7 linked regions of the Mus musculus genome follow. The protein of the gene in region 5 purifies or fractionates together with the protein of the main gene of each other region. This does not show direct contact. Links are inferred from orthologs where the notes say so. Each region holds a gene or a part of one and is shown on either strand. Other genes may lie near its edges.

Region 1 (2,438 bases), on a different chromosome or scaffold from region 5:
CAGGAGTGAGGCCCAAGCAGTCACAAACACATCTGGAACTCTAGTTCCAGGGGATCTGATGCCCTCTTCTAACTTATGTGGGCAGTGGGCACATAGGTGATATACAGAAAGGTTCTCCAGAAACATCCATATGCAAAAAATAAAATTAATCTAAAATATTTAAAAATCAATAAATAACTGATGAGCAGGCAAATAGCAAGGGTATTCGAGGTAAAGTGCGGGTATGGGGCGGGGCGCATGCTGGGAGTGTCAGGAGGAGGAGTTGGTTCCTAAGGGTGGGACAGAGGTGGGGTTTTGTTTTGATTGACAGTCTTGAGTTTTATAAGCGTAGGTTGACTGCTCACAAATGCCAGATGGTAAATAGGGCATTTCTTCTCCTGGCTGTTAATTCAGAGGACAGTTTGTCTTACTGTACATACATCTAAAACCAGTCTAATCCAGACCAGATCGGCCTAGTGTCCCTAATTCCCCAGATATGTTCCGGGACGGTTTACCACAGAGTGAGAGTTTCCAGGGTTGTTGGGGAGCTGTGTGTGTAGCTCAAGCCAAGCTGGGGCTGCATTTATTTGTCCTCCACTCACTGCCTTACCACGATGCCTTCAGCACCTCTGCCCTGAGCACAGTGAGAGGACACAGCATTGAAGCCTGCCGACGCTGGTGTCCTCACTGGGCCCAGGACACCGGCTACGTTTCAGTGGCTTCTCATCTGATGCTCCTGACATTGTACCAGAGAGCAGAGCTTTGTGCAGTCCCTAGGTCTGGCCTGGCCCTGACGGCTCAGCACCTCCGGTGACACAGCTATCTCGCCCTCTCCTCTGCGCAGGTGGACGGCGTTCTGAAAACTGTGCTCCGGGATGAGATCATTGCTTGGCACAAAAAGACACAGGAGGACACTTCCTCTCCACTGTCGGCCGCAGGGCAGCCTGAGAACATGGACAGCCAGCAGCTGGTTTCCTTAGTTCAGAAAGCCGTCACTGCCATCATGACCCGCCTGCACAACTTGGCCCAATTCGATGGTGGGGAGAGCAAGGTGAACACCCTGGTGGCCGCTGCCAACAGCCTGGACAACCTCTGTCGCATGGACCCTGCCTGGCATCCATGGCTGTGACCTCGGTGACCACCCTACCCAGAATGTGAAATGTGCCTCTCAGCCTCTGAGCCCCTGGCTGTTGAGACCTCTCTCTGCCTTGTTCCCCACTTTATTCAGTTACCTTCCCAGTAGTTTGTGTGTGGAAGAGCATGAGATTAGTCCTGGAGGGAGCCCCTGCACACAGTAGGCCAGGCCGTTGGCGATGGCAGAGCTGAACTCAGCAGCTTCCGAGATGCCTTTTAACTTGAGGAGCCCTGAACTGGGACTCCCTGTGTACTCCTGTCTCAGTGTGAAGTGCAGACTGAGAACGTCCCCTCCATCCCCCAACTTCCAGAAACTACACCTCAGAGTGGCTGCTCACTGTCATACCGGGTCTAGGGAATCCACAGTGTTAGAGAAGCAGGAAGCAGGATCAGTTCGACAGGCGTGCATCTCTGAGCACAGATCTCACTCTGTCACTGGTGTGGACATCTCGCCAAGTCTGATGATGAGGCTCAGCGAGCCCAGGGCCTGCAGGGGAAGCTGCTCCAGGCCTCATCAGTCAGATCCGATGCAGCTGTGCAGAACGAAGCTGTGAGGCCAGCGGGCCAGCCTTTCTCTTTTTACTGCCGGCTTGTTGGATATCTTTTAGAGATTTACTATCATTGTACCAGAAAGAAGAAAAAAAAAAGACAAAATCATTTTGTTTTTCCTTCCTAATTTAAAAAGAAAGCAGTGAAAGTTTGTCCCCTTTAGATGGTTATGTTGACATTTTTATAAATCTGAGCATTGAGAATGTTCTAGCTAAATTTGTACAGTGTGGTTTTTTTTTTTTTAGAATAAATATTTTATAAAAGTATTTGCTGTGCCCTATTTTTGTGTTAGCGTCTGTGTCCGTGTGGCGCCTCTTCCAGTTCAGCACCTGCTGGCCCCTCCTGGACAGAGTAGGGTGTGGCTTTCAGATGATGGTGCTGGCTGCCTGTGAAGGTGTGGTGGCCCACGGTCACAGGTCGGTGAGGTCTTGGCTCCCAGGGTCAGAAGCAGACCAGCCCATGTAAAGCCTCGGTGATGGGAACGGCCGTCCTGCCTTGGCGGTGAGCACAACCCTCTTCGTCCTACTGACTAAGCATGTATGAGGAGCCTGTGGGAGGCGAGGCTGGCCCAGTGTCTATGTCTTAACCCTGGGAAAACAGTGTGAATCAAAGTACAGGTGGATCTGAGACGTTGTAAACGTGTGACTGTGACATCGGCCTGACACAGGATGTGGAGCTCCGTCTAAGCCTAAAGGAAGTGTGCCTTTGGCAGGTACCAACCTTCTACAGGGCTCGCCACAGCTGCTTACACACAGCATGGATCACAACCCCTTCTT
Region 2 (4,491 bases), on a different chromosome or scaffold from region 5:
AGCAAGGAAGCAGCAATGGCTCCACCCCTGTGAGGCTGTTGTGAGTAACAGTGGTGATGCTTCAGTTCCTCAGGGGAAGACTGGATGTTCTGAAAGATGGCACAACTCAGAACTCACAAGAGAGAAAAATGCCGTGTGCTGTCATATGCCTGTTGTCATCCTTGTGACAAGTCCCAGGCCAAGCAGGGCTACACAGTGAGACTTCACCTCAGAACAAACAATAACAAAAGGCCTATTGGCTTTTCAGTACTTCTTATGCTGAACATATTTTGCACACAGATCAAATCCAAGTGTTATTATTAATGCTCCTGTGATGAAACCAATCCTTTACTTCTGCACATAAACTCTTCTCAAAGTGGCCAAATGGACCCGAAACCATTTAAACTGGGAACACTTAGAAGTAAGGCTAAAGGGCCCCACTACACCCTTTAGGCATGTTATCAATATCTGTGATAGTTATTTTTGGTTGTCCATTTGACTACATCTGGATTTCACTAAAACCCAAAAATGGAAGAACACATACGTGAACAATTTTGCCTACTCTGAAGTGGGAAAACCCACTGCTTTGTGTTTTTAAGAGGATTTCTCAGTGTAGCCCTGGGTGTCTTGGAACTTGCTCTGTAGACCAGGCCTGCCTCTGCCTCCCCAGTGCTGGCAAGCTGGCTTGGTGGAAGATCCACTTTGAATTCACATCTTTGAGGAGGGAGAACACACCTTTGTTATTCAAACCTATTCTTGTTATTCAAAGTCAGAAGATGCACCTTCTGCTGGAAACTAAAAGAAAGACATGAAACAAGATTTTCCTCCCTGCCACCCCCAGGACAGGGCTTATCTGTGTAACCCCGCTTGTCCTGGAACTGACTCTGTAGACAACGCTGGCCTCAACTCATAGAGCTTCGCCTGCTTCTGCCTCCACTGCCAGCCTGCTTTTACTCTGCCTACTTGCTCTCACTCTCGTTGACAAGTCCGCTCCTTCACTGTCATTAGCGCCTACTTCTTTGGGATTCTGATGTATAATGAAGACCAACTGAGACATCCATTCTTGTTGACTGAATGCCTACTGGAATTTTGAACCTTCCATGTATACAGCCACATATATACTATTTTAAAAATAGAAATCCAGTATTAACGGAAAAATCTTGCTAAGCCCCCAGGCCTGTGCAATCTTATGCAGACACCTGGGTGGATCTCTAAATCCCTTCAGGTCTACTGACTCCCCAGGGTTCAAAACCCCACTCCTTAGCTTCTTACTCAGGGTGACACCTCACACTGCCACTAAGAGGCTCGCCAGAACACTGCCTCTAGACAAAGCCTAAACATGATCTGAGTGACCGGCGTCGCACCCGGTGGGCGTCACGTGACAGACTCGGCGTTCCTCCAATCGCTGTGCGAGGAGCGGGGATTCCATCTAGTACTTGGCCTCAGGTTTACAACGTCCTGCTCTTCCATTCCCCAAACGGGCCGGCTTTTTGCTACCAACCAGCTAGCAGTGATTCTCAAGTGTTTCCCTTTCAAACAGCTTCAAGGGGCTCGGGCCTATAGCGCACTCAGCTCCGGAAGTGACGTCTCCCAGAGGGGCCGGAAGTGGCAGTGGAGGGAGGGAAGATGGCGGAGGTGGTGAGTCCGGTGCCCGGGGCGGGGCGGAGGGAGCCAGGGGAGGTGGGTAGAGCCCGAGGCCCCCCAGTAGCCGACCCTGGCGCCGCGCTGTCTCCCCAGGGGGAGATAATCGAGGGCTGCCGCCTGCCCGTGCTGCGGCGCAACCAGGACAACGAAGATGAGTGGCGTGAGTGACGTCGGGGGGCGGGTCCAAGGAACCTGAGGGCGAGGGGCGGGAGGGAGTCAACGATCGCACGGGAGGGGGAGGGGCTTCTGCAATCCCGGGGCGGTCGCAGATACTCGGGAGGAGGGGCGTGGCTTTTGGACGTACGGAGATGATCCGGGCGGGGCTTGGAGAGAGGTGTCACTTGGTGACTAAAGGGGTCTTGAACCAGCCCCTCTGAGTGCTGGGACACAGGCCTCCAGCCTGGAGGTGGGATTCAGGTCGAAGGGTGGAGTCTCCTGACCTGCCCTGGCTAAGACTCCCTGTCTGTGTGGTTCTCATAGCCCTGGCTGAGATCCTGAGCGTGAAGGACATCAGTGGCCGAAAGCTTTTCTATGTCCATTACATTGACTGTGAGTCCTGGGCCTGGATGGAGTGGGGTTGCTGGAGAGGGTTGAGGGCAGCCTCTGGCATTCCCTCCTGAGCCGTTTTCACTGCTGCAGTCAACAAACGTCTGGATGAATGGGTGACTCACGAGCGGCTGGACTTAAAGAAGATCCAATTTCCCAAGAAAGAGGCCAAGACACCTACCAAGAACGGACTTCCTGGGTCCCGCCCCGGCTCTCCCGAAAGAGAGGTGGTGAGTAGGTCCCCCATTTCATCTTTTCTCTCCTGCCTCTTCCTTCTTGCATCTCTTGGCCTCAGGGGTTCCTGAATGGGCAGGAGGCAGCATTCTTCTGCCATGGCTTCAGCTTGCAAAGGATGGGGACCAAGTTGCAGGCGTAGCTTCCAGAGTCCAGCACTGCCTTGCTTTAGAGAAGGCAGAGGGTGGGATTCCATGCTGAGGGGCCCATCCCCCCCTTCGCCATCCCACCACCATCCCCACCCCAGAGGAAGACCCTGGACCTATCTCTGCAGCCGGCCTCCGCCCAGGCCAGCGGGAAGACCTTGCCAATCCCGGTCCAGATCACACTCCGCTTCAACCTGCCCAAGGAGCGGGAGGCCATCCCAGGTGGCGAGCCTGACCAGCCGCTCTCCTCCAGCTCCTGCCTGCAACCCAACCACCGCTCAACGGTACCCTCAGCAATTCCAGGGACCTTGCTTTCTTCTCAGGTCCCACCTTCTCTACCTTCTGACCCACCTTTCCTGGTTTCTCTCTGCAGAAACGGAAGGTGGAGGTGGTTTCACCAGCAACCCCAGTGCCCAGCGAGACAGCCCCAGCCTCGGTTTTCCCTCAGGTGAGTCTTCCAGTCTTTTTTCATGTGTCTGAATGTTTTGTCTGTGTTTTGCATGTGTTCTACTTGCATGCCTGGTGCAGGTGGGCAGAAGAGGGCATTGGAGCCACTGAAACTGGAGTTAGAGATGGTTGTGAGCCACTCTGTGGGTCCTGGGAAAAGAACCCAGGAAGTCCTCTGGAAGATCAGGGCTCTTAACCACTGAGCCATCCCAACAGCCTGCCTGGTCTTTCCCCTCTTATTCCTTGCTGTCTAGCATCCTCCTCCAGGATCATCTCACGGTCGCTCTTTCTCTTGTGTCTTGTCCACAGAATGGGTCAGCCCGTAGGGCAGTGGCAGCCCAGCCTGGACGGAAGCGGAAATCTAATTGCTTGGGCACTGATGAGGTGGGTCTTGAGGAGCAGAGGGAGAGGGAAGCCGGGAAAGGGGGAGTGGGCTTGGGCATGGTGTTCACTCGGTGAGGCCTTAGGCAGGGAGGGTGGTGGCTGGGAGCCAAGCAGATGAACCCCTGGGCCTCTTCTACTCTCAGTTTCTCAGCCTCGCTTTATTTTGGAAGTGGAGGTTGGTGCTTTGCCCTTAGCTGATGTTAGACTTGCAGGAAGAAGCCAATGGCAGTGTCGTGCGCCACGCTCTGCTTAACTGCTACCATCTAGTATTTGCCATCTGCCTTGGGCAGGATTCTCAGGACAGCTCAGATGGAATACCGTCAGCACCACGAATGACTGGCAGTCTGGTGTCTGACCGGAGCCACGACGACATTGTCACCCGGATGAAGAACATTGAGTGTATTGAGCTTGGCCGGCACCGCCTCAAGCCGTGGTACTTCTCCCCGTACCCACAAGAGCTTACCACGCTACCCGTCCTCTACCTGTGCGAATTTTGCCTCAAATATGGCCGTAGCCTCAAGTGTCTGCAACGCCACTTGGTATGAGGGGTCTTGGGAGGCTGCCTATCCAGAGTACCCTCACCAGTCCCCACCTGATCCTCCTTTTGTCCTTAGACCAAATGTGATCTTCGGCACCCTCCAGGCAATGAAATTTACCGCAAGGGCACCATCTCCTTTTTTGAGATTGATGGACGGAAAAACAAGGTTAGTGGCTTGGGCACGGCTGGGCTGGAGTGAGTCACATGAACAACCTTTTCCTGCTCAGAACAGTTGACCATTCTGCCTATGAGCAGGTCACTGTTTTTATTGAATTCTTGACACGGAGCAGGGAATGTACAGAAAACTGGGATTTAGAGAAATTTTCTTTCCTGAGAGGTCACTGTCACGGCAGAGCAGACATGACAGCTACTCAGGTTCCAGTAACAGAGGGGGTTCAGCACAGTTCACAGGAAGCTGTCATCAGAGCTTGGAGGTGTGTGTGCCTATAATCCCAGCACTCAGAAAACTCCCGAGTTCAAGAGTAGTCAGGGGACTAATGAGTTGCAAGCCAACCTGAGCTATAAAGTAAGAAAGACCTATCCGGAACCAAAACAAAAAACAAAAAGAAGTGA
Region 3 (3,695 bases), on a different chromosome or scaffold from region 5:
CTTCCCAGCCCTAGACACACAGTGAGTCTCTTTAGAGGTAGGTAGGGTTTCACTATGTATCTCTGGTGGTCATAGAACTCACTATGTAGACCAGGCCAACCTTAAACTCAGAGATCCTTTGCCTCTGCTTCCCACCACGGCCAGCTAACGACACAATCGTGAATAGATATCCTCACTGAGACTTATTACTCTTTGTTGAAACTCTGAAAGTTTGTTTCCGAGCTTGCTTATCACATTTTTCTTTCTTTCTTTCTTTTATAGCATTGTGCTTCTCAGTATTCTGAGCTCTTAGAGACTACTGAGACTCCAAAGTGAGTATAAACCCAGGTACATCTGTTTGGTCAGGAAGGGTTCACTGTGGAAATATATCTTACTGGGTGAGAAAAGTATAGCAGATGTTATGATTACATGGTAGAAAGGCTCAAAGAATACAAGTGGAAACAAATGTCCTCTTACTTAAATTTGGATTTATTTTTTGTTTTCCACAGACGGAAACGGGGTGAAAAAGGAGAAGTGGTAGAAACTGTTGAAGATGTTATTGTTCGCAAACTGACTGCTGAGAGAGTTGAAGAACTGAAGAAAGTCATAAAGGAGACACAGGAGAGATACAGGTAGTTATCAGGTGATTTGGGAGGGGCATTGGACAGACATAAAAAGCTGACTTCTGGTACATACAAGATTAAGTTGGTGTTTATGAGTGACAGGGTCTCACTGTATAGTCCTGGGCTGGCCTGAACTCTGTCTGTAAACTAAGCTAGAGTCCATCACCCTCTGGTGGCCCTTTTAACCCTTTTAATCCTAGCACCTAGGAGGCAGAGGCAGGCAGATCTCTTAAGTTCAAAACTAGCCTGGTCCTCAGTGAGTTCTAGGACAGTCAGGGCTACACAGAGAAACTTGTTTTTAAAATACAAAAAAGAGGGCTGGAGAGATGGCTCAGTGGTTAAGAGCACCAACTGCTCTTCCAAAGGCCCTGAGTTCAAATCCCAGCAACCACATGGTGGCTCACAACCATCTGTAATGATAACTGAATCTCTTCTGGGGTGTCTGAAGACAGCTACAGTGTACTTACATATAATAAATAAATCCTAAAAAAAAACAAAGAAGGGGAGGAGGAGAAGAGAGGGAGGGAGGGAGGAAAGGAAAGAAGGGAGGGAAGGAGGGAAGGTGGGGAATGTAGTTAAAATGCTGGATGCATGCATGGTATGTCTACAGCAGCTACTCAGGAGTTTGAAATGAAACGGTAACTTGAGACCACAAGTAAAAAGCTCTAAATGTGGTTTATAGTAGGTGGTGATTAGACAACTCAGTGGCAGAGATGGAAGGGACCCAGGTGGTAGGAGATGGCCTGTGACCTCATGTGCTGTGAAATGTGTCCACCTGTACTTGTACACACACACACACACACACACACACACACACACACACACACTAATAAAGTAATAAAAGATTATGGTAGCGCTGGGTGTGGTGGCGCACACCTTTAATCCCAGCACTTGGGGGGCAGAGGCAGGTGGATTTCTGAGTTCGAGGCCTGGTCTACACAGTGAGTTCCAGGACACCCAGGGCTACACAGAGAACCCTGTCTTGAAAAACAAACAAACAAAAAAAAAGAGTATGGTAGCTCATGCCTGTAATCCCAACATTTGGCAGACCAAAACAGAAAATTTTCATTAAGTTTGAGCCCAACTAGAGGAGGGCCCTGTCTCAATAACCCAGAAACTTACTGTGAAGAGGACTGATGTCTGCCTCTTTGTTTCTATAGGCGTCTGAAAAGAGATGCAGAACTAATCCAAGCCGGGCACATGGACAGCAGACTGGATGAGCTCTGCAATGACATTGCAATGTAGGTTCCATTTGTGCTCTGCCAGTGTGTCAGAATACTTTTTTATGAGTGTGTTGTGAACTATGGAGAGGAGCTCGAGCTGGCTGATGTAGCTCAATTCTTTTCCTTTTTTAGGAAAAAGAAATTGGAAGAGGAAGAGGCTGAAGTAAAAAGGAAGGCCACCGATGCTGCGTACCAGGGTGAGCTGAGTTTAGTGCTTCTGTTAGCATTGACCATGTGGTTCTGTGTGCTAATGACAGCGTTAGAGGAGTGTGATGACCACTGCTCTATGGAGAGTTAGCTGTCACTTGTTTTCTAATGTACAGTCCACTGGTTTTGTTGACTTGCAGCGTTTATCATGTTCCTCCCCTTCTTTTTTTCCCCTCAAAACATTATTCTTTTTGTTTTTCTGCTAAGGATTGAGCTGAGGGCCTTGTACATGCCTGCTAAAATTAGGCCTCCAGGTAGCAATAAATAAACAAGCTTTCACAAGGATCGGCGCCTACCCCTATCAGAGTTCTTTCATCTTTTGTATTTCCCATTTACTAATTTTTGTCATGTCCCATGATTTCCCAGTCGTAGACCATGGATCAAGCCCAGTGTCTTAGGCTCCTGACTGATCTGCTAAACTGTAAGGCAAGGCAGTTACAACTTTTCCTCTTCTCTCTAAAGTTTGAGTGATTTTGAATCTCTGGAGCAAACTGGCAGTGAACAGGAAAAATGTAAAGATTTATTGTGTGCGTATGCATAGCAGTCTCATAAAATAAGGTGTCTGGGTAAACCCTTGCTTAGCATGCATGAGTCTTAGTCTCTAGCATAACAAACAACTACAGAGAAAGAATCATTCCTGTTATCTCTTTTTCTAACAGAATAAACCATCCTTTATGTTCAAGAAGAAATACTTCGAAAAATGAGGTCTTTCGTACTCCCTAGGTCTCCAATTTACTTGTAGGACTCACAAGCTTGATAATGGCAGACTGAACATAATTTAAGGTTTTATTTATTTATTTTTATTCTCTTCATATATTTATTTTTGAGTACTCCCACCCCTACCCCCAAGATAGGGTTTCTCTGTGTAGCCCTGGCAGTCACTTTGTAGACCAGGCTGATCTCCAACTCAAATGAGCCTCTGCATTTCTTGTGCTGGGATTAAAGGTGTGCCCCACCACCACCCAGGTTTTTTTTTTCCTTCAATTTTTTTTTTTTTTTTTTACATTTGTTTGTTTGGAAGTGGAGGCACAGATACGTGTCACGTGGTGGGTCTGTATAGACCAAAGAACAAGCTGTGAAAGTCCATTCTCTCCTCTCACCAGATGGGTCCCAGAAATTGACCTTAGATCATCACAGCAAGAACCATCTTATTAACCTTAATTAAGGCTCTAGAGCTCAGAGGCCAATAAAAAAGGTCAGCCGTGAAGTGAGCCAAGTGCGGAGGTGTACGTCGTTATTGCTAGCGTTCGGAAGGCTGAGGCAGGAAGATCTCTGTGAGTCAGTCAAGTTTGCATAGTGGGTTTCAGGCCAGCTAGGACTACATTGTGAGAGACACCACCCACACCCACACCCACCCCTTCCTATAATCCCAGAGTTTGGAATTGGAATCCAAAGGAGGATGGGATGAAGAGTTAATTGCAAATGATCAAGAGTTCATCTTGGGTGGTGAGGTAGGAGGGAAACATGGGTGTTAGCAACTGTAAGACAGACTACATGGTGAGAATCAGTGAGGCCTTCTCCTCTTTCTAAAAGCAGATTCTTAAGTTGCTGCAGAAGATGTTGAGATGTAAACCATGTGCTACAGCAAGGACCTTTGAAGTAGTTAAGTAGTTAATTTGTTTAATGTGAGAATCGCCCTGAGTTTGAAAAACTAAACTAAAAA
Region 4 (4,361 bases), on a different chromosome or scaffold from region 5:
CACTTCGTACTTTCAGTCACTTCATACTCTAATGACTATGACATTAACATGCTGTTTTTACTCATAAACTGCAATTCTGAGTCTGAATGCTGTATTTTAACACAATTTAAAATAATTTGCTTTGTCTTTATTTACAAAAGTAACTAAGGGATGAGGGAAACACCCAAATATCTTGGAAGACAGATAATGAGATCCATGTATAGCTAACCATAAAAAACAGAGTAATGACCTCTTTAAAAATAAAACCAGTTGTTCCTGTCTAGTATGTTTAGCATGCAAATGCTTTTAAAGTCAAATTTTATCATGACAGTTCATGCTTAAAGTTAGCAGGAAAAAACTTTGGAAGGCGATACTGACTGAAACTTTGGTGCGTAAATAGCTCTAAGTTTTTACAGCTAGGATTCAAATCCATGCTAAAACACTAGTGAATAGCCCTGAAAGAAAATGGCTAGAAACCCTGGCTCACCAGAGACATTAAGAACAGTCACTTATTTGCGACAGCATCTGCTCTAATCTGCAAGGCATTTGCAATACTTCAATATGGGCTTCCATATAAATAGAAGCTATTTGTTATTCAGAGGAGACAGTGCAAAAAGCCAGCTATTTTCTTTCTAAACACTCCTTGGTGTGAGGTAAACAGTCTGAAACACACAAGAGCAAACCACCAGCCTCTACCACAGACTGGGGAACAGGAAGACGCTTGCTTTTCTTTACCAGTATCAGGAGCAACTCCTGGGAGTTAAGCACAGCAGTGGGTGCCAATATATATTTGCAAGTTAACTACTAAGTGCTAAGTTCTGGTGCATATTAATGTAAGGGGTAAAAGATTAAAAAGTCGGGCTGTTGAGATGGCTCAGTGGATAAGAGCACCCGACTGCTCTTCCAAAGGTCTGGAGTTCAAATCCCAGCAACCACATGGTGGCTCACAACCATCCGTAAAGAGATCTGACGCCCTCTTCTGGTGTGTCTAAAGACAGCTACAGTGTACTTACATATAATAAATAAATTAAAAAAAAAGATTAAAAAGTCAAAAGTAAACAATAAATTGTAACAAACATTTCAAGTCTAAGAATTCTTACACTTACACACATGAGGGGTGGGGTGGGGGTAGGGGAAGACAGGCAGGTTCGAGCAAGTTCTTAGTAGGTTAAAGGTGTCTGCTCCCAATCTTGATGACCTGGGTTTGATTCCTGGTTCGCACATGGCATAAGTTAAGATGACTACCTCCACCTGTTCTCTGATCCCCCACCCCCACCCCCGCCCCCACCCCCCAACAGCATCCTATCCTATAAATAAATAAACGTTACAAGAAGCATTTGTGAGAAAGGGCCTTCCTTTTGGAGGGGGCATGGGTTTGCAAAGACCATGAGTCAAAATGATGAGAAGGAATAGTTTTGATCATGTATCTTCCAAGTATTGTATTTATTAGTTTCAGTACTATTCCTCCCCCAGGCCCAATTTTACGCGTTCTTAGAAAAAGTGATTTAGCAAAAGGCAAATAATGTACATTGACAGTACCAAGGATATGGTGTTAAAAATGTCCTCATCGCAAAGAGGACTACTTGTGAAACAGTCATGAAACCCCCACATAGCAGTTCCCTGGCTTCCCAGGGAATAGTTTCAACCATCTTTAGTCATGGAAGCAGCACACTTGATACCGACCCAGCAAAGTTTTCAGTTGGCCCTTACCATCTCTTTACTCTCCCCATCCCCCTCCCTCCACTTCCCTGATGTTCTTTCCTGGCATACAAAATATAGGCCAATGAGCAGTGGGTGGGTGAGGAGGATGTGAGAACAAATTTGAGAAGTAAAAAAGGGAGCAACTTAACCAGGACACGACATGAATGAGACTGAAGGGTCTAATAAGGGCAGGCAAGTGAATATCAGAGACTGAAAGAAACCGAAGGTGCTTTCCTAGGCTGCAGTGCGTGGTATATGGATGTAGGGTTAAGTAGAGGTCAGACTACCTACCACTCGTCAGAAGCTGGGCTGCTTTGGGTGACTTCTAGTGTCTCTTCCGACTCTGAAATGTCAGGATTTCTTTTTCACAAAGGAGAACGTACGGATGGTGGAAGCCCACTGACTTGGAACCCTCAAGTAGCAGCCTTGGCGGCTGACTCCCCGATACCACTCCTACGTCTCCCTCCCACACGTGCCCACCCCGCCCCCTTTCAGTATCAGCACCTCCACGTGCAAAATGCCTCTCGGCGCTGGCTCTACAATGGTGGGCTCCGTCTCCAGCCAAGCCCCGAAACTCTGTATGCTCCTGCCCCCACACCCCCGAGAAACCACTCTCCCACCCTTGGCAGCTAAAAAAGGCAAAGTCTCCTATCTAATCTTTCCCTTCAAGCAGAACGGGGTTGGGAGGGAGCAGAGGAAAAACTTTCTTATGTTTTTTTTTCTCCCTAAGAGAACCCTAAGTCAGGGGTTGAGGGGGGGAGGGGAACCCCTGAACGTTTAACGGCCAGTAGGGGGAGGGGAGCTCCGGAGACGGAGGGGGCGTGGGATGAAGAAGCAGGCCCGCGAGTGGGGTCCCCGAGCTGCGGCGTTCCGGGGGCCGGGCAGCCGCAGGCGTGCCCCCCCCCCTCAAACCTGGCACACAAAGCGGCCGCTGCGCTCGGCTCTCACCAGATCCTTTGTGTTTTCCATCAGGGCCTCATGGGTAGGGGCCGTCCGTGCTCCCCGAGCCCGCGGCGCCCCCTCCCCCCCCGCGAGCAGGGGGCCGGTGCCTCTCCCCGGGACTGCGGCGACTACAGGGGGGACCCCCGGCTGGGCCAGGGCCAGCGACAGCAGTGGCAGCCCCCGGATTTCCCCCCTTTTAACTCGGGTGGCCCCAGGATATCAACAACATTAGCATAGCCCTCCCTCCCCAGCGCGCCTGCGCCGTGACCCGCGCCCCGATTGGCCCACTTCCCCCACGTACCCTCCTCTCTCCCCTCCAGCGTGGGACCCTCGGCAGGCGCCGTACTCTAAGGACCGTACCAAGACCACAAGTCGATGAGGTAATTGAGGGCGCGCGGCACGACGCGGGGCTCAGAATCAGCAGGGCGAGAAGTTTCTTTCAGCCACTTCCATTTGGACTCCGGCCTCCCCGAGTCCCTTCCAATATGTTGCCTCCGAGAAGTTGTGTTGGGAAAAATTTCCACTCCAGTCACGCCGCTTCCCCCTCCACCCGGAAGATCGGCCTTCCCTGAGGAACTCCCACATGGGGCGGGGCCGCCGGACGGAGTGGGAGTGACGTAGCGCGCGAGCGCCGGTCACGTGGCTTGCGGCGGCGCAGACTCCTTCCGGCTCCCCGGGGCCGGGCCGAGGAGAAGAGCGAGCCGCCCCGGCACATGCGCAGTGGTACTCCACGTGAACGTCGGCGTTTTCCCCTCAGCCCTGAGGATGCCGCCCGAACGCAAGAGCCGGACGAGACGAGACCGGAGAGCCGGCGCAACGCCGGGGAGGAAAGCCAGACCCGGGAGCGGCAGCACGCCCGCAAAGGCCGCCCGTTCATCCCAACGGACACAGCCGGCCGAGCCGAGGGCGGCCCCTAGCGCGGGATCCGCGGCGGCGGCGGCAGAGGAGGAGGAGAGCCGGCTCCGGCAGCGGAACCGCCTGACGCTAGAGGACGATAAGCCGGCCGCCGAGCGTTGCCTGGAGCAGCTCGTCTTCGGCGATGTCGAGGACGACGAGGACGCGCTGCTGCAGCGGCTGCGGAGCTCGCGGGTGAGGAAGGCCTGCCTGCCTGCCCGCCTGCCTGCCTGCCGAGCGGGCACACGCTCTGGCGGGGCGCGCGGCGGGAGGCGAGGCCCCGGGGGCGGAGCCTGGAGGTGGGGGGGACCTGTGGCGGCGAGTGCTCAGGTGGGAGGGACCGGCGACCGCGGGCGCCGAGGGGCGCCGTCCGGCTCTTTCGCCTCGGGTTCTGGGCTGCTGGCTGGCGAGGGCGGGGACGCTGCCTTTCTCCGCCCCAAAGGGGCTGCGGCGCTTCGCATCCAGCAGGCGCTCAACTGTCGGCTTGGTTTGCCAAAGGATGTCTGCAAAGTAGAGTCGCTCATCTTCGGGCTCTTACACCCTCTGCTGGAACCACAGGGGTGACCGTTTGATCACCTGTCGCGACTCCGCGTAGTGGATGGAACCAATACGTGGGCAGAAGGCGTAAAGCTGCATTTTAATAACATCGCGGGGTGATACCCACGCCCAGCTTTTGAGAACGATCAGTGTGTATTCATCTCTAACCTTTCTTTGGTTGCTAGCTCTTGTAACAATTGCAAATCCTTCCTGATTGATGCTCTTTGCGCTATTATTTTTGTTCTATACCTGGTCCCTGGACTAAGGGTAGAGACACAGCAGTGGAGGAATCCCACAAGAACCCCTCT
Region 5 (4,418 bases):
GACAAGCAATGCCATTTAGGAGGCTGGAGATGCACCTCAGTTGGTAGGGTTCTTCCCTGGCATGTATGAAGCCCTGGGTTCAATCCCCAGGATATATACCAGCAGATATCTGCTACCCTAGCACTTAGGAGGTAGAGGAATGGGGACTGAAGTTCAAGGTAATCTTTGGCCACAGAATGAGTTTGAGGCCAACCTGGGATACATAAGACCTTGAATAAGAAATAACAGTTGGTTGAGACCTAGACATGGTCTGGGGAATAGTTCACACTGGTCAAAGTAAACTAGACTGGTGTATAAACTATTAGGCTTGTATATTCATTAAATGAAGGAGAGCATTTCTATGGCCTTTATTTCTCACCTGAGCCCAGTCTGAACCCTTCACACTAGGATCAAGAATCCCAGCACTTGTATCTATCTTGTATAAAAGACTTAAGCAGCAGGAGTCGCAACAAATGAGAAAGGACTTGACCAGTTGGCTAGTAGATATATATCATTGTCTACTTTGTATCTGGGAAGTAAGGAGTCTTGCTACAAAGCTGATTATATCCTGGCCACCTGGAACCACCTGAAGACCTCACGGAGAAGACAAATCTGGGCAAACTTCACCAGCCATTTCTACAGAAAGTTGGTGGTGTGCCACACAGACACCTGCTCCAGACCAAAGAAATCCTTCTATCAGGTTTGAAGGAACCTCTCAGCTCCCAACAGGTGTGAATTCACTTTGAAGCTACGGGATCACACACATGATCATGGGCTAATGGTTTCTCTACAGCTCCTTGTTAGAGAGTGATAATCACAGGAGCGCTACAAAACGAACAAGCACAGCTTCCTCTTAATTCATGCTTTTGGACTAGAGAGCCTACATGTTCATGAAAATAAGAAGTTAGCGTGGGATAGTAGGCGGGGTCTTAGCTGCTGACCTTGATGCTCAGCTACTTCCTACTACCTAACAGAGAGTTCTGCAGAGACCTGCTGTGGCTTCGTGGAGAGAAAGAATGAAGTCATCCTTCTCTCCTAAACCATCCAACCTGTCTATAGGCATCAAGTCTATATTGCCAGTCACGCGTTCTGAAGTAACAGACGGATGTTTGCAAATGTCATGGCTGGTAGGATGTGGTCTGAGTACAGAGATCGCACAAACCAGAGAGGACCAGCTAGGATAGATGAGGTTGAGGGTTACATAGGGAAGCTCCCTGAAGAAGGACGCACTCCAAATTGAAGGAGTATCCTACCTGGTAGGGGTGAGACTAAGGTGGACCGGAACCAGAAGCAGTCAGCAGCAGAGTCTACCATGCCTTAGATATTCAGAGAATAACCAGGATATTATCAATCAGCTCCTGGGCACTTAATATGTGGCAGCTCTTAGGTTGGGAACTTGCTTTATGACATGTCCCAGATGGTAGATTATGCTTCACCCAGCCGTACAGTAACTAAGCCAAGTTCTGCATGCCAACCAAGCAGAGGCAAGGGCACCGCCCCTGTGAGATCATAACTCCCAGCTGCATCATATCCACATGATAGCAGTGACCCCACACCCCCTTATGAAGCTTTATTGGGCCACACCTCCCCTGTGGCATTGTGGGAACTTTTCCACCAGCTACGCTTTCACAGTGGGAAAGCTGAAGCCTGGCCACAGACTGCTGTCTGGCTCTGAGCTCTGAGCTGTCCCAGACAATGAGACAGGTCAGAGCCAGCACCCTCCATGGTTCCCTGCTGTGAGCATTGTCTGGTTACAGGCCTGAATGAGGGGCAAGTGGAGTGTCAGGACTGGATTCAAGGCTTGTGGCAGCCAGCAAGTGATCCTTATCAAGACCCAAGAGTTCAGAGCTACAGTGGCCCCATAGCACAAAGGAGAACAAAGGTTCTCAACATCTTAGTCTGAGAGGCATCAGTCAGAAAAGGGATTCTGATGCCTGGCAATGGCTGAGGAATGGGTAAGTAATGAAACCTGGATGGGTGGCAGGGTAGGACCCATGGCACAGCTGACTGGGGTGACTCAGGCCCAGAAGCAACCATGTTCTTAAGGCTGCTGTGCCCAGCCCTTGGCCCTATCCAATCCCATGTAGAGCTACTAACACCTGCCTGAAATTCTGACAGTCTGAGTTAATCATCCAACCACTTCTGGAGTGGATCCACTGTAGGGACAGAATGGAGGTACAGGTAGGTAGCAAGGCCGACAGGACCTGGATTTCTGTCTTCTGATGCCAAGGAAGCACTTAATTCTGGGACTGTCGTGCACTCAGGTCAGGGCTACTGAAAGATATACAGAGCTTCACTCCTACAAAATGTGATTGTTGGGCTTTAAATTTTTAAATTATTTATGGTGTGTGTGTGCAAGTGTGCATATACCATGGAATACATATAGAGGTTAGAATACAACTTTTTTTTTTTTTTTTACTTATTTTATTTATATGACTATGCTGTAGCTATCTTCAGACACACCAGAAGAGGGCATCAGAACCCATTACAGATGATTGTGAGCCACCATGTGGTTGCTGGGAATTGAACTCAGGACTTCTGGTAGAGCAGTCAGTGCTCTTAACCGCTGAGCCATGTCTCCAGCTCTAGAGTACAACTCCTAAGAATTGCTCCTCTCCTGCCAGCTCTAGGATCCAGGGGTGGAGTTCCAGTTATGGGCTGTGCACAAGGATCTCTATTAGATGGGCCATCTCACTAGCCCATGGGATGTTGTTGTTGTTATTGTTGTTGCTGCTGTTGTTGTTTAAACTATTTTTCTTAAACAGTTTTAGTGAGATGTAATTTACATATTGTACAATTTATCTCTGGCAAGGAGAGACACACCTTCACTTCTAGCTGAGTTCTTTTCCAAATTACCTAACCAGGTGAAGCCCAGATTTTTGGGCCGTGTGTGTCATGCTATGCAGACTTGGCTGACTCAGAACTCCTGCCTCTCTCTCCCGAGAGCTAGAATTACAGGAGTGTGTCACCACGCCCATCTGGTGCATTTTTAAAGCATAAGGTTTGTTCCCTCGCCTTCTCCGGACAGAGCCGTAGGCAGTAAAAGGTTCAACCACCAGGAGTCGCTGCTGCACCGGAAGCCAGTCTTCGCTGCGCCTGCGCGGACGCGGGCACGCGGCGTTCTCCAGCCCGGCGAGTGCGCGCCCTCCACACCAAGTGCGCCTGCGCGGAGCCTGTAGTATTTTCCCCCTTCTCGCGCCGGGCGCTCGTCAATCGCCGGCGGCCATGGGGGAGGCCGAGGTGGGCGGCACGGGCGCCCCAGGCGACAAGGGCCCAGGCGAGGCAGCCCCGAGCCCTGCTGAGGAGACGGTGGTGTGGAGCCCTGAGGTGGAAGTGTGCCTCTTCCACGCCATGCTGGGCCACAAGCCTGTCGGTGAGCGCCGCGCCGCGCACCGGCGTGGGGGTGGGGCGGGATAAACCGTCGGGCGGGCTGGCGGAGCCTGCGACCTCCCACGGGACGTGGCCTCCCACTCTGGGGTGCCCTACTAGTCTAAGAGCCTATGACTTTCCTGCCCGAGAAGCCCTCTCCCTGGGGACACTCCTGACTTCCCTGCCCTTGAGACACTCCTACCCCAGGGAACGCCTCCATTCCCCCCCACCCCCCCACCTCTGCAGCCCCCTGTCCTTGGACCCGCCTACTATACACACCCTAGCCCCTGGAACACCCACCTGCCTTGTGGCACCTCTCTTCCCCTTTGACATGTGACTCCTGCAACACTTGCACCTGCGGGTTTGCCCACTCCTGCCCCTCCTTCTTCACCCATGTCCTACGCACAGAGGTGCTGTCCTAACCCTCAACCCACTGTCCTACCTCTCAGGGGTGAATCGGCACTTCCACATGATTTGTATCCGAGACAAGTTCAGCCAGAATATTGGGCGCCAGGTTCCATCCAAGGTGATCTGGGACCATCTGAGCACTATGTACGACATGCAGGCACTGGTGAGTTGGATCCTGGCCTGCCCATTTACGGGCTGACCGTGGAGTCAAGTCCCAGATCCTGTCAGCTGTGGTACAGGACAGAACCCTCTTCTCACTTGGGGTTTGGTATGCAGAGCAGAGGTGATCTCAAAGGATGAGGCTCCTTCCTCAGAAAAGCTTAAGTCCTGTTGTGAAAAGCACAGACTAGCGATGATCTCTGACTACTTTTTCAGGGCACCTACCTACTTTAGATTGGGTGGCACAAAAATCGTCGAGGTGATAGTTGAGGTCTGAGATGACAAAGAAGCCTTCAGCCACCGTAAAAAGCAGTAATGGTACAGCGTCAGTATAGGAGGGTCCAGAGTCGTTTGAGAGTCTGTATACTGTGGGAGCCAGACTCCTCCTCTTCAGAGAGCCTAGAGATAGCTGTGTCTTGATGGGTAGCTAGGTAACTGGTTTGGAGAGCTGGCAGTGGCTGATGGTTCTGCAGGTAACTAGTAACCTTGCTAGTCAGGTTTGT
Region 6 (4,314 bases), on a different chromosome or scaffold from region 5:
GCAACCCCTCCCACAGGTCACTTGGCAGTAATGTGCTCTACATCTTAACCAGACACATCACCTCAGGCACAGCTGTGAATAAGCTTGGCTATGCTCCAGTAAAACACAGCACAAGGTTTCTGACATGGGAGTATCATAGTATTCTTAAAACTGTTTTTGAATCATTTAAAATGTAGTAATACACACACGGTGGCATGTGCCTATAATTCCAGTACAAGGAGGCAGAGGCAGGAGGATTACAACTTGGAGACTAGCCTGGCCTACACAGTGAGACTTTCTCTCAAAAAACCCAAATCCAAACCATCACTGTCAGCTCACAGCACACAGTGTCAAGTGAACGGGAGAGCATTTTCTTACTAGCGTTATTCCTGAACCTATGACAGACAGGTCAATTCCTGCCACCTTAATGGCAGGGAAATGGATGAGAGTTTATTCAACCCACCTAAGGTTACAAGTAGCCACTATGTAGCTAGACCCTAGACACTTCAATTTAAGCACTGCTACCAGGTACAGAGCTACATTACACTTGAGCTTTGGAATGGCAGGACTGGTTTGGGCCTTTGGTTATATAGATCAGGCTATCTAAGGCCTAGAGAAGCAGAGGGACAAATTGTTGCAGTAATTTGGGGTAAGAAAAGACAGTGTTCTGGGCGACACTGATAGAGATGTAGACTAAGAACAGTAGACACGGATTGGGGAGGTATTTACAAATGGGTGCTTCCTTGAATAGTGCTCCACTTGCTTGGTGAATGATTTTCACAGAAATGAAAGAAACTGAAGTCATGATTTTTAAATGCTATCTAAATCTAGCTGGAAAAATGTACTGTCTTTTAATATAAATAGCCATTGTTTAAAATGATGGATCCTATTATTATATCTGATTTGCTGATTAATTCAAAGTGAAGTGCACATTTCTTTTTCAAGTATAAATGTTAGTTGAAGTATTTCTGCTTAAAAAAAAAAAAATTCCGAATTCATCACAATCAAAGGCCAGGGATCTCTCCCAGGTAACTAACTCAAGTTCCAGATTCCTTGCACTCAAGTTCCTTTGGCTCCTGGGGAGCAGCCATCCTTTAGAACCAGAGCGGTTGATGGCCTGAGGCAAGCCTCTTAATTCCCAGTACCTAATTAACTCACTCTCGAAACCCGGCCCACTCCTGCACCAAGCCCCTCCCACTCGCCCGCCCACCTAAGACTCCTCCTACTCTATTCGCGCGCGAAGCACAGCTCCACCCACTCCCCCCGCCTTGCTCCTGGAAGCTCGGTCCACCCTACCGGCCGCTCGCGAAGCTCCACCCACCTCACCCGCCCGCGAAGCTCCGCCCCCTCCTGCCCGTACCCCAACACCTTCCCTTCTTCTGTCGCTTCTCCCTCTCCCTGCCCCTACGGATGCCTTCCATTGGCTAAGACGGCTAAACCGCGCGGGGATGCAGCAGCGCCACACTCTGATTGGCTAATGACTAAGCCGGACCCTTTGTCATTGGTTGATACGAGAAACCAGCAAGAGTGGCTGTGCAGCGGGCGTGCGGCCGCTGCTTTGTTGCCGGAGGGGGCGGCGTTGGAAGTTGCAGGCTTGCGGGGCCGGCGTTCTCAGGGAGAGGAGTCACGCCGCTGTTATCTTTCGTCCGGTAGTCTTCGGCCAGTCCCCGCCAGACAGTAGCCATGAGCGGCGGCGTGTACGGCGGAGGTGAGTGAGCGCAGCGGCGCCTCGGGGCGTGCGGACCGGAACGACCGGCCTGGTCCCTAGTCGCTTCCGTTTCCCTCCGGTCCTCGGCGGGCCCTTCCGGTCTTTGGACGGTGCTTCCGGTCCCCGTATGGGCCACGGCCTCTCCTTCTCTTCGGACCCGGGCCGGCGCGCAATAGGTTTCCGGCTTGTCCCGTCGCTGCTCCGAGATGGCCTCAAGGAAGGGCCTTGGCGCGTCTTACCGGCTGGGCTCTGATGGCAGTCCCTGGCACGCCGGGTCCCTCACTGTACCGGTTCCGCCGCGCGTTGGTCCCGGGCAGCTCGCGGAGGTTCCGGGCCCCCGGGGTTGGCACTGGGTGCGAGTGGCGCCCGGTGTTGCGGCTGCTGCTCTGGGTCCTTCAGCAGCCACTACAGCCTGGACATCGTTCCAGGCGTGCTCGGTCCCCAGATGAGCGGATCCCTGAGGTACAGGCTGCAGTTCTCCTGTCCGGCTGGGCGGGAGCCTTTTCTAGATCGGCGATAACGAAAACAAGGCTTCTAAGTACTGTTTTGTTTAAGAGTAGTTACCTAGTTAGAGACTCTCCTCTAGGGGGGATGTTGACAGGAGATGGTGCTGCCATCCCTCACGTTAACGAAGAAAAAAATATTGGCAAGAGTTAAACAACCAGCTCAAAGTTTAAAGACTCGTTGTAAATTGGGAGCAAATTGCTTCTGGGATGAGGCAGGGGTATTCCTTTCTCTGCCGTGTACAGGTAACACGCACCCATCAAGAGTTAAATAGTATCCTCACACTAACAAATCTATATCTGCATTGAGTCAGTAGATCTGTGCCCACTCATTTTAACTGCTGTGTAGGGTTTTCTGAGAATAAACTATAGTAGTTTCTCTAGGAACGGTAGTCTTTTCCCTGGCAAGAAGTGTGACAGTAATAATTACCGTTAGCTAATATTTATCGGCTTATTGTTTGTCAGCACTGTAAGTGCTTTATACATTAAAACATTCAAGGCATTTAGTCATCCTATCCTATGAGGTAAGTATTAAATACATTTTTCGGATTAAACTGTAGCAGAGAAGTTAGTAAATTACCCATCTCACATAGTGTATTAGTCATTTTTCAGTTGCTGTGATTAAAAAAAAAAAAAAAACCAAGAAACAAAAAAACAAAATCAGCTTCTAGAAGAAAGAGTTTACTTTAGCTTATGATTCCAGAGAGGTAAGAGTCCAGTTTGAGAGAGGTATGGCAGCTAACAGCAGGCATGATGGTGGGGCAGGAATCTGGGCTCACGTGTCCAACCTCAAGCATGAAGCAGCTGGAAATAGTGGGGGCTTTAAACTCAAAGCCTGTCCCCCAGTGACAGCTTCCTACATCAAGGCCCACATCTTCTAAACCTCCATAAACAGCACCACCAACTGGGGCCCAGATGTTTAAATATCAGCGTCTATAGGAGACATTTTCATTCAAACAGTTGCATATGCATCTCCTTTTAAACTAGGAATTTCTCCAAACTGGGTATGTCTAAACTAAATAGCTCTGTGATTCTCTTTGGGTGCCTCTTTGTAACTAGCACCAAACTGGGTAGATTGGGCATAGATTGGCTTTAACTAGAGAAACAGAAGAACTTTTAAGGCCTTAGCATTTGAGTAATGTAGGTAAGTAGGATTAGTGTTTTAAATTTTGAGGGGGACCCCATTGAAAAACCAGTACTGAGAAACCCAAGTGCATTATCCTAGGAGGCCTGCTGTTTGGGGTGAAGTATTTGGAAAATATACATGGAGGCTTTTCTCTAAATTAGACTGAAAAAGATTGCCAGCTTTTTTCTTACCACTAAACTGTCTCCTAAAGTCTGGAATGTGTAACTTAAATGATACGTTCATTAAATGCTTTTTACTTGGCCTGTATAAATTACACTCTAATTTCCATGCTGTGCAGTTTTCATATTTTGCTGTGTTTCTTCATTTCATGAAACAAAACATAATTCCCCATAATTGATGAAATTGTACTAGGATGTATTCGGTGGTTTTTATTTTTCTTTCCTTTGTTTGTTTGTTTGATTTGTTTTGTGCCACCAGATTCCCTTGCTGTCATTTATACACATCTTGTGCCTGTAGAGATGGCCTCTGGGCTTTCTCAGCCTCTGGTTTCAGCTTTGAACTTTGATTTGGTGATGGTAGGGTAACTATACTTTTTGCCTGTGCTTTTTGTTTTAGTATAATCGTTAAAAGCTGGTGTTCCCCACCCAAGTTAAAATGCCCCAATTTGGATGCTGCATTATAGAGTCTTCCTGGGATTGCAATCTGAGCTTGGCCCTCCCTCCCTGAATAGGCAGCTTAGCTCTGCATCATTCAGCTGTTACCACAGCTCTCAGCAGAAACCTTCTAGGTTCTGGGAACAGTTTCTTCTTGTTTCCTCAGTTTAAGGATTATGAGGGCAGTCCTTTGTTCATCCTTCTGTACCTGGACTATAGAAGTTTATAATTAGTTCCTTTAGTAAGGAAACTACTACCTGCTGTCAGTGTACCATGGCTTTCCTGATTAAACCTCCATTGATAAAACAGTATGACTTGCCATATTTTAATTAAATACATCTTGAAGGTGCATTTAATACTAGGTTCATGCCAGACATGGTGGTG
Region 7 (4,474 bases), on a different chromosome or scaffold from region 5:
TGTGGGGCCAACCAAGGGAATCTGAAGGAATCCGTGTTAATGTTTAAGCTATAAGCATCCGAGTTATATGCAGAGATGCCTTGCTCTTCTCAGGAAGTAACTGATAATATATTTAGAGGCAGAGATTCGTGGTGTAAGCGCCTAACTCTTCAATGGTTAGCAGGGAGAGAAAGCACGGGCAAACAGCAATGTAACCACAGAGGAGGAGCAGGGAGGAGACCCTGTGACGGCGGAATGGGTCTGCATCTTTATACACACACTAATCAGAGGGCAGCTTTCCACCAGTGGCCCTTGCTTTCTACCTTGTTGAGACAGAGGCAATCTGGTTATTTGGACAGCACTACATAGTTCAGGCTGTCCTGCAAACTTCCCAAGTGAGCGATTCTCCTGTCCCCAAATCCCACCACATATGCTAAAATTCCAGACGTGCATTTACACATGTGTGTTAAATGGCAGGGGTGGGGGTGGGGGTGGGGGATGGTCCAAAAGTTCAGTAGACAGAGTCTAATCCCCTGGGGCTCCGTTACAGGTAGCTGTAAGGCACCTAACAGTGATGCTGGGAGTCGAACTCCTGTCCTCTGCCAGAGCAGTGTGTGCTCTTAACTGCTGAGCCATCTCTCCTGTTGCCAGTTGTGCCTTTTAACACAGGTTCTGGGAACTGAGCTCCGGTCATCAGGCTTGTACACCAAGCGCCTTTACTCACCGAGCAATATCTCCTGGGCCTGGTTTCACATCCTGTAGTTATACACATACGTTAAAATGCCATACCCACCCCCACCCCCACCCCCACACAGCCAATCTTGATTTCCTGATTTTGATGATACTCTATAGTTACGTAAAACGTAACCATCAGAGAAAACTACGTAAGCACACACAAGCCATGTCTATTGTTTGTACAGCTTTCTATCGCCATCTGTAAATTATTTCCAAACAAAAGGTTCTTAAGCACACAGAGAAGTTTTCGTACTTCAGAGAGAGCATGCACCCACAGTGAGTTAGCAACTCATGAATACATGGGAAAAACACTAACTGGTCATGCACATTCTCATCTCAGTTTTCCTACAGATTTGAAAAATTCCTCACAAGCGTAGGCATTTTTATACAATCGCATGACTGAGCTGACAGTGGTAACAATGAACTTGGAGGTAGAACAAAGATCGTAATGGCACAGCGTGGCTGATGAAAATGTGGAAGACAGTTCGGTCACAGGCTGTACTTCACTTACACCCACACATCCCTGCACCATGGGCCCTATTTTCTTTCATCACAAATACTGGCTTCCCCAAGGTTTCTCCGTGAGCCGTCAGAGTACAAGTTCAAGCTTAGACCCCATTCCACACTACGGCTCTACCATCTCCTTGCAGAGTAAATGCCAAAAGCAAATGTCCCAAGCTGGACATGACAGTCCATACCTTTAAATCTATCAGTCAGAAGTCAGAGGGAGAAAGAGCTATGTGATCTGTGAATCCGAGGCCAGCCTGCTTTACTTAGTGAGTTCCAGGCTAACCAGGGCTACATAGTAAGACCATGTTTTAAATCAAAACAAAAATCCTGCAGCCAAATATTAGTAGAGGATAAAATGGAGAGATACTATTAGATTTTTTTTTCTTCCAGACAGGGTTTCTCTGTATAGCCCTGGCTGTCCTGGAACTTACTCTGTTGACCAGGCTGGCCTCGAACTCAGAAATCTACCTGCCTCTGCTTCCCAAGTGCTGGGATTAAAGGCGTGCACCACCAGTGCTCAGCTAATACTACTAGATTTTGACACTCACTTTTGATTGGTCAAATACCGATCCCAGCCACGGATAATATTGCCATACATCTGAGTGTCTTCCAGGTAGCTTCCTTCAAAAGCATATATCTGTCTCTCCAAGTTTGCAAGTGTTTCCTAGGTGATGAAAACAGGGACAGGGAAAAACAAGCATTAAGCAAACTGAAATTCCGTCACAGACTTGTAAAGTCAAGCTTACCCACAATGAACCATTTCTGTGGAAGTGTAGGGGTGATGGACCCCTTTATAAATAGAATGAAATGTATAGTCTATCCTCAGAAAATGCACACACATGCAAGATTTTGCATCTACTTCAGAGGCAAAACCTAGCTGTCACGAGCAGGGATGAGACAGACCGTGAGCTGTCTCCATTCTCACTCACTAAATGTGTTGCTACCAGCAGCGAGAAGGGTGAACAGCTTTTCAAAAGCATCTCTTCTACATCAACTGCTTCCTCCCTGCTAGCTCTGGAAGGGCCGCCCGCAGTGGATGCCGGTTGCTATGGAAACCTGGAAGGGCAGCTTCAGGTGAGCTTTGCCTCCCGGATGCTCGCCGTAAAAGGCGGGAGCCTACAGGGCAGTCAGCAGGGTGCCGGCGGCTCCTGGTGCGCGTCACCAATCCAAATTCCCTAGGCTGCGTCTTGGGTCTCCCGCCAGCCCCGTTCCTTGGCATCCTCAAATACACCACATTCCCCGGCCATTGAAACGCGCCGCCCATGGAATCCATCGTGCATCTTCTCCAGGCCGGGGTCTAGCCGCCTCCTTTCCAACCGCTAACCCGACCTGAGCGTCGTCCCCGCCTCCTGCCTCTCGCCCTTCCCGCGCCCTCACCGCCCCGCCCCGCCCCACTGAGCGCAGGCCGGGAACCGCGCCGCCGCAGGGAACCGCGCCGCGCCCGGCCGCCCAGAGCGCCCAGACCCTGGCTGCCCGCCGTCCTCGCCTCCGGAGCTGCCTGCGAGGCCAAGTGGGGACGGCGTCCAGGCCTCGGCCACTCACCGCCAGCTCCTGCTTCCGCTTAACCAGCTCGGCCAGCTCCCGCCGGGTGTCTGGGATCTGCGGCGGCGCCGTCTTGTTGTGCATCGCCATGTTGGGCTCAAGCGGCGGCGGAGGCGGCGGCGCGCGACCAGTAGGCGGACCCTGCGCACTGTCGCCGCTGGCCGCCAGGGGGCGCGACCCCCCACACCGCGCCTGCGCGCGCGGCTTCCGGGGAAGCTGGCCGGCTCAGCGCGCGAAAGCCGGCGCGGAGAGGCGCTTGTACGTGTGGGACCTTCCTTGCTGCTCCACTGTGGGCCTCTGAGCTTAACAGACACCCACAGACATTCACTACATCGAGAACCCAGCTGCAGCATAGGCCTGTTGAGTATTCCATATGTCTCCCGGCAGACGAGGTCCTTGCAACACCACCCAACTGCAGGTGGAAAACCTGAGCAAGGTTCCGCCCACCAACCGGGTTGCAGAGAAGATCCCCAAACCAACATCTTGCTGGGTTTAGCACAGGCAAGCAGATCTCCTGTTGTACGTGGTTTGCCGGAGGGGAAGGATTATGAAAGAATTAGCTTCTATCTTCAGATCCAGAACTGTATCCAGGCTGGTATTGAACAGAAACAGACCGTGAGTTTATCGTCCTGCCTCTGCCTTCCCACTGCTGGGATTCCATGTGTTGAGCATGCCCGCTGTTAATAGGTGCTGGGGATGGATCTCAGGACAGACGAAGCAAGCACTCTACAGGTACACCCTGAGCCCACCTCTGCATTCTCAGTGCTCAGCAACGTCACTCGTAGTTTAGGTGGCGTTCTTTGCCCCCATGGGTGGATGTCCTTGGGTTTCTATGCCCTAGATGTATATTGTTCAACAGGTATGAGAAATTCTCAATTTTCTAAAACTCCTCTTGCCTAATTTTCTCTCTCACAAACCTCTTCACTAATCTCTTGTTCCTCTCCAGTAGTACATGCCTATAATTCTAGCACCCAAGAGGCCGCGGTAAAAGAAGCAGGAAGGTCAAGGTACTACATAGTATTTGGGCCAGTAAGACTATATAAGACAGTTTCACCACCACCCCCCAAAAAAGAAAGTCAAGGCTGTAGATGAAACTCAGTTGGTAAAATATCTGCCTAAGCCCAAGCTTGCACAAATCCCTGAATTTGAGTCTAGCATCTCTTCCTTTCCTGCCAGCCTGGCCCACAGAAGAACCTCCCAGGGCCAGGCATGGTGGCACATGTCTTTATTCCCAGCACTCAGGGGACTCGAAGACAGACAGGACAGCTGTTTTGAGGGGGAAAAAATCAAGATGAGCCTCAACTACACAGAGAATTTGAGGCTAGCCTAGGCTCAAAAAAATAACAATCAGACCTTGGAAATTTTCTTTTTATGTCTATGAGTGTTTTGCCTGCATGTATGTCTCTGTACCATATGCATGCAATTCCCAAGAAGACCAGAAGACATCAGATCCTCCTGGGACTGGAGGAATAGTTGTAAGCTGCCATGTGGGTGCTGGAGATTGAACCAGGGTCCTGGGGGAGAGCTCTGATCCATCCTCTCTCCAGCTTTTCCCCCTGCCCCGTTTTAATGACTGAGTCCCAATTTGAGATGCCCATATATTTATAGGTGTGAGATCATCCAATGGAAAGTGATCAACCTACCAGGGCCCACACCTTAAAGCTGACTCTTCCCCCACAGGAGTCACCCACTGTTGATAGCTTCTTAG

The links.
Region 1: the proteins of Mrgbp (region 5) and Trrap purify together in Homo sapiens (co-immunoprecipitation; 3 studies listed by BioGRID and IntAct, counting the BioPlex papers as one, with this or other methods). This does not show direct contact. The link is inferred for Mus musculus from reciprocal best matches to the Homo sapiens genes MRGBP and TRRAP.
Region 2: the proteins of Mrgbp (region 5) and Kat5 purify together in Homo sapiens (co-immunoprecipitation; 8 studies listed by BioGRID and IntAct, counting the BioPlex papers as one, with this or other methods). This does not show direct contact. The link is inferred for Mus musculus from reciprocal best matches to the Homo sapiens genes MRGBP and KAT5.
Region 3: the proteins of Mrgbp (region 5) and Brd8 purify together in Homo sapiens (affinity purification with mass spectrometry; 10 studies listed by BioGRID and IntAct, counting the BioPlex papers as one, with this or other methods). This does not show direct contact. The link is inferred for Mus musculus from reciprocal best matches to the Homo sapiens genes MRGBP and BRD8.
Region 4: the proteins of Mrgbp (region 5) and Mbtd1 purify together in Homo sapiens (affinity purification with mass spectrometry; 4 studies listed by BioGRID and IntAct, counting the BioPlex papers as one, with this or other methods). This does not show direct contact. The link is inferred for Mus musculus from reciprocal best matches to the Homo sapiens genes MRGBP and MBTD1.
Region 6: the proteins of Mrgbp (region 5) and Actl6a purify together in Homo sapiens (co-immunoprecipitation; 4 studies listed by BioGRID and IntAct, with this or other methods). This does not show direct contact. The link is inferred for Mus musculus from reciprocal best matches to the Homo sapiens genes MRGBP and ACTL6A.
Region 7: the proteins of Mrgbp (region 5) and Meaf6 purify together in Homo sapiens (co-immunoprecipitation; 4 studies listed by BioGRID and IntAct, counting the BioPlex papers as one, with this or other methods). This does not show direct contact. The link is inferred for Mus musculus from reciprocal best matches to the Homo sapiens genes MRGBP and MEAF6.

Annotation. Positions count from the first base shown.
Region 1 is NC_000071.6:144,857,851-144,860,288, forward strand, and holds the end of Trrap (transformation/transcription domain-associated protein), read left to right. Parts: intron 1-823; coding exon 824-1,108; 3' UTR 1,109-1,928; downstream 1,929-2,438. UniProt on the Homo sapiens protein: Adapter protein, which is found in various multiprotein chromatin complexes with histone acetyltransferase activity (HAT), which gives a specific tag for epigenetic transcription activation.
Region 2 is NC_000085.6:5,607,144-5,611,634, reverse strand, and holds the start of Kat5 (histone acetyltransferase KAT5), read left to right. Parts: upstream 1-1,540; 5' UTR 1,541-1,605; coding exon 1,606-1,617; coding exon of another isoform or gene 1,618-1,716; coding exon 1,717-1,783; intron 1,784-1,890; exon of another isoform or gene 1,891-2,103; coding exon 2,104-2,172; intron 2,173-2,262; coding exon 2,263-2,399; intron 2,400-2,650; coding exon of another isoform or gene 2,651-2,677; coding exon 2,678-2,833; intron 2,834-2,922; coding exon 2,923-2,997; intron 2,998-3,305; coding exon 3,306-3,380; intron 3,381-3,670; coding exon 3,671-3,919; intron 3,920-3,994; coding exon 3,995-4,084; intron 4,085-4,491. UniProt on the Homo sapiens protein: Catalytic subunit of the NuA4 histone acetyltransferase complex, a multiprotein complex involved in transcriptional activation of select genes principally by acetylation of nucleosomal histones H2A and H4.
Region 3 is NC_000084.6:34,611,364-34,615,058, reverse strand, and holds part of Brd8 (bromodomain-containing protein 8), read left to right. Parts: intron 1-261; coding exon 262-311; intron 312-488; coding exon 489-611; intron 612-1,762; coding exon 1,763-1,843; intron 1,844-1,957; coding exon 1,958-2,022; intron 2,023-2,028; exon of another isoform or gene 2,029-3,306; intron 3,307-3,568; exon of another isoform or gene 3,569-3,683; intron 3,684-3,695. UniProt on the Homo sapiens protein: May act as a coactivator during transcriptional activation by hormone-activated nuclear receptors (NR). Isoform 2 stimulates transcriptional activation by AR/DHTR, ESR1/NR3A1, RXRA/NR2B1 and THRB/ERBA2.
Region 4 is NC_000077.6:93,884,684-93,889,044, reverse strand, and holds the start of Mbtd1 (MBT domain-containing protein 1), read right to left. Parts: upstream 2,875-4,361; 5' UTR 2,650-2,874; coding exon of another isoform or gene 2,629-2,649; exon of another isoform or gene 1,972-2,628; intron 1-1,971. Other genes in the region: Utp18 (U3 small nucleolar RNA-associated protein 18 homolog), read left to right, coding at 3,388-3,711. UniProt on the Homo sapiens protein: Chromatin reader component of the NuA4 histone acetyltransferase complex, a multiprotein complex involved in transcriptional activation of select genes principally by acetylation of nucleosomal histones H4 and H2A.
Region 5 is NC_000068.7:180,579,604-180,584,021, forward strand, and holds the start of Mrgbp (MRG/MORF4L-binding protein), read left to right. Parts: upstream 1-1,618; 5' UTR 1,619-1,934; exon of another isoform or gene 1,935-2,265; intron 2,266-3,007; 5' UTR 3,008-3,204; coding exon 3,205-3,352; intron 3,353-3,797; coding exon 3,798-3,919; intron 3,920-4,418.
Region 6 is NC_000069.6:32,707,194-32,711,507, forward strand, and holds the start of Actl6a (actin-like protein 6A), read left to right. Parts: upstream 1-1,352; 5' UTR 1,353-1,662; coding exon 1,663-1,687; intron 1,688-1,742; exon of another isoform or gene 1,743-2,149; intron 2,150-4,314.
Region 7 is NC_000070.6:125,083,559-125,088,032, reverse strand, and holds the start of Meaf6 (chromatin modification-related protein MEAF6), read right to left. Parts: upstream 2,873-4,474; 5' UTR 2,857-2,872; coding exon 2,767-2,856; intron 1,889-2,766; coding exon 1,773-1,888; intron 1-1,772.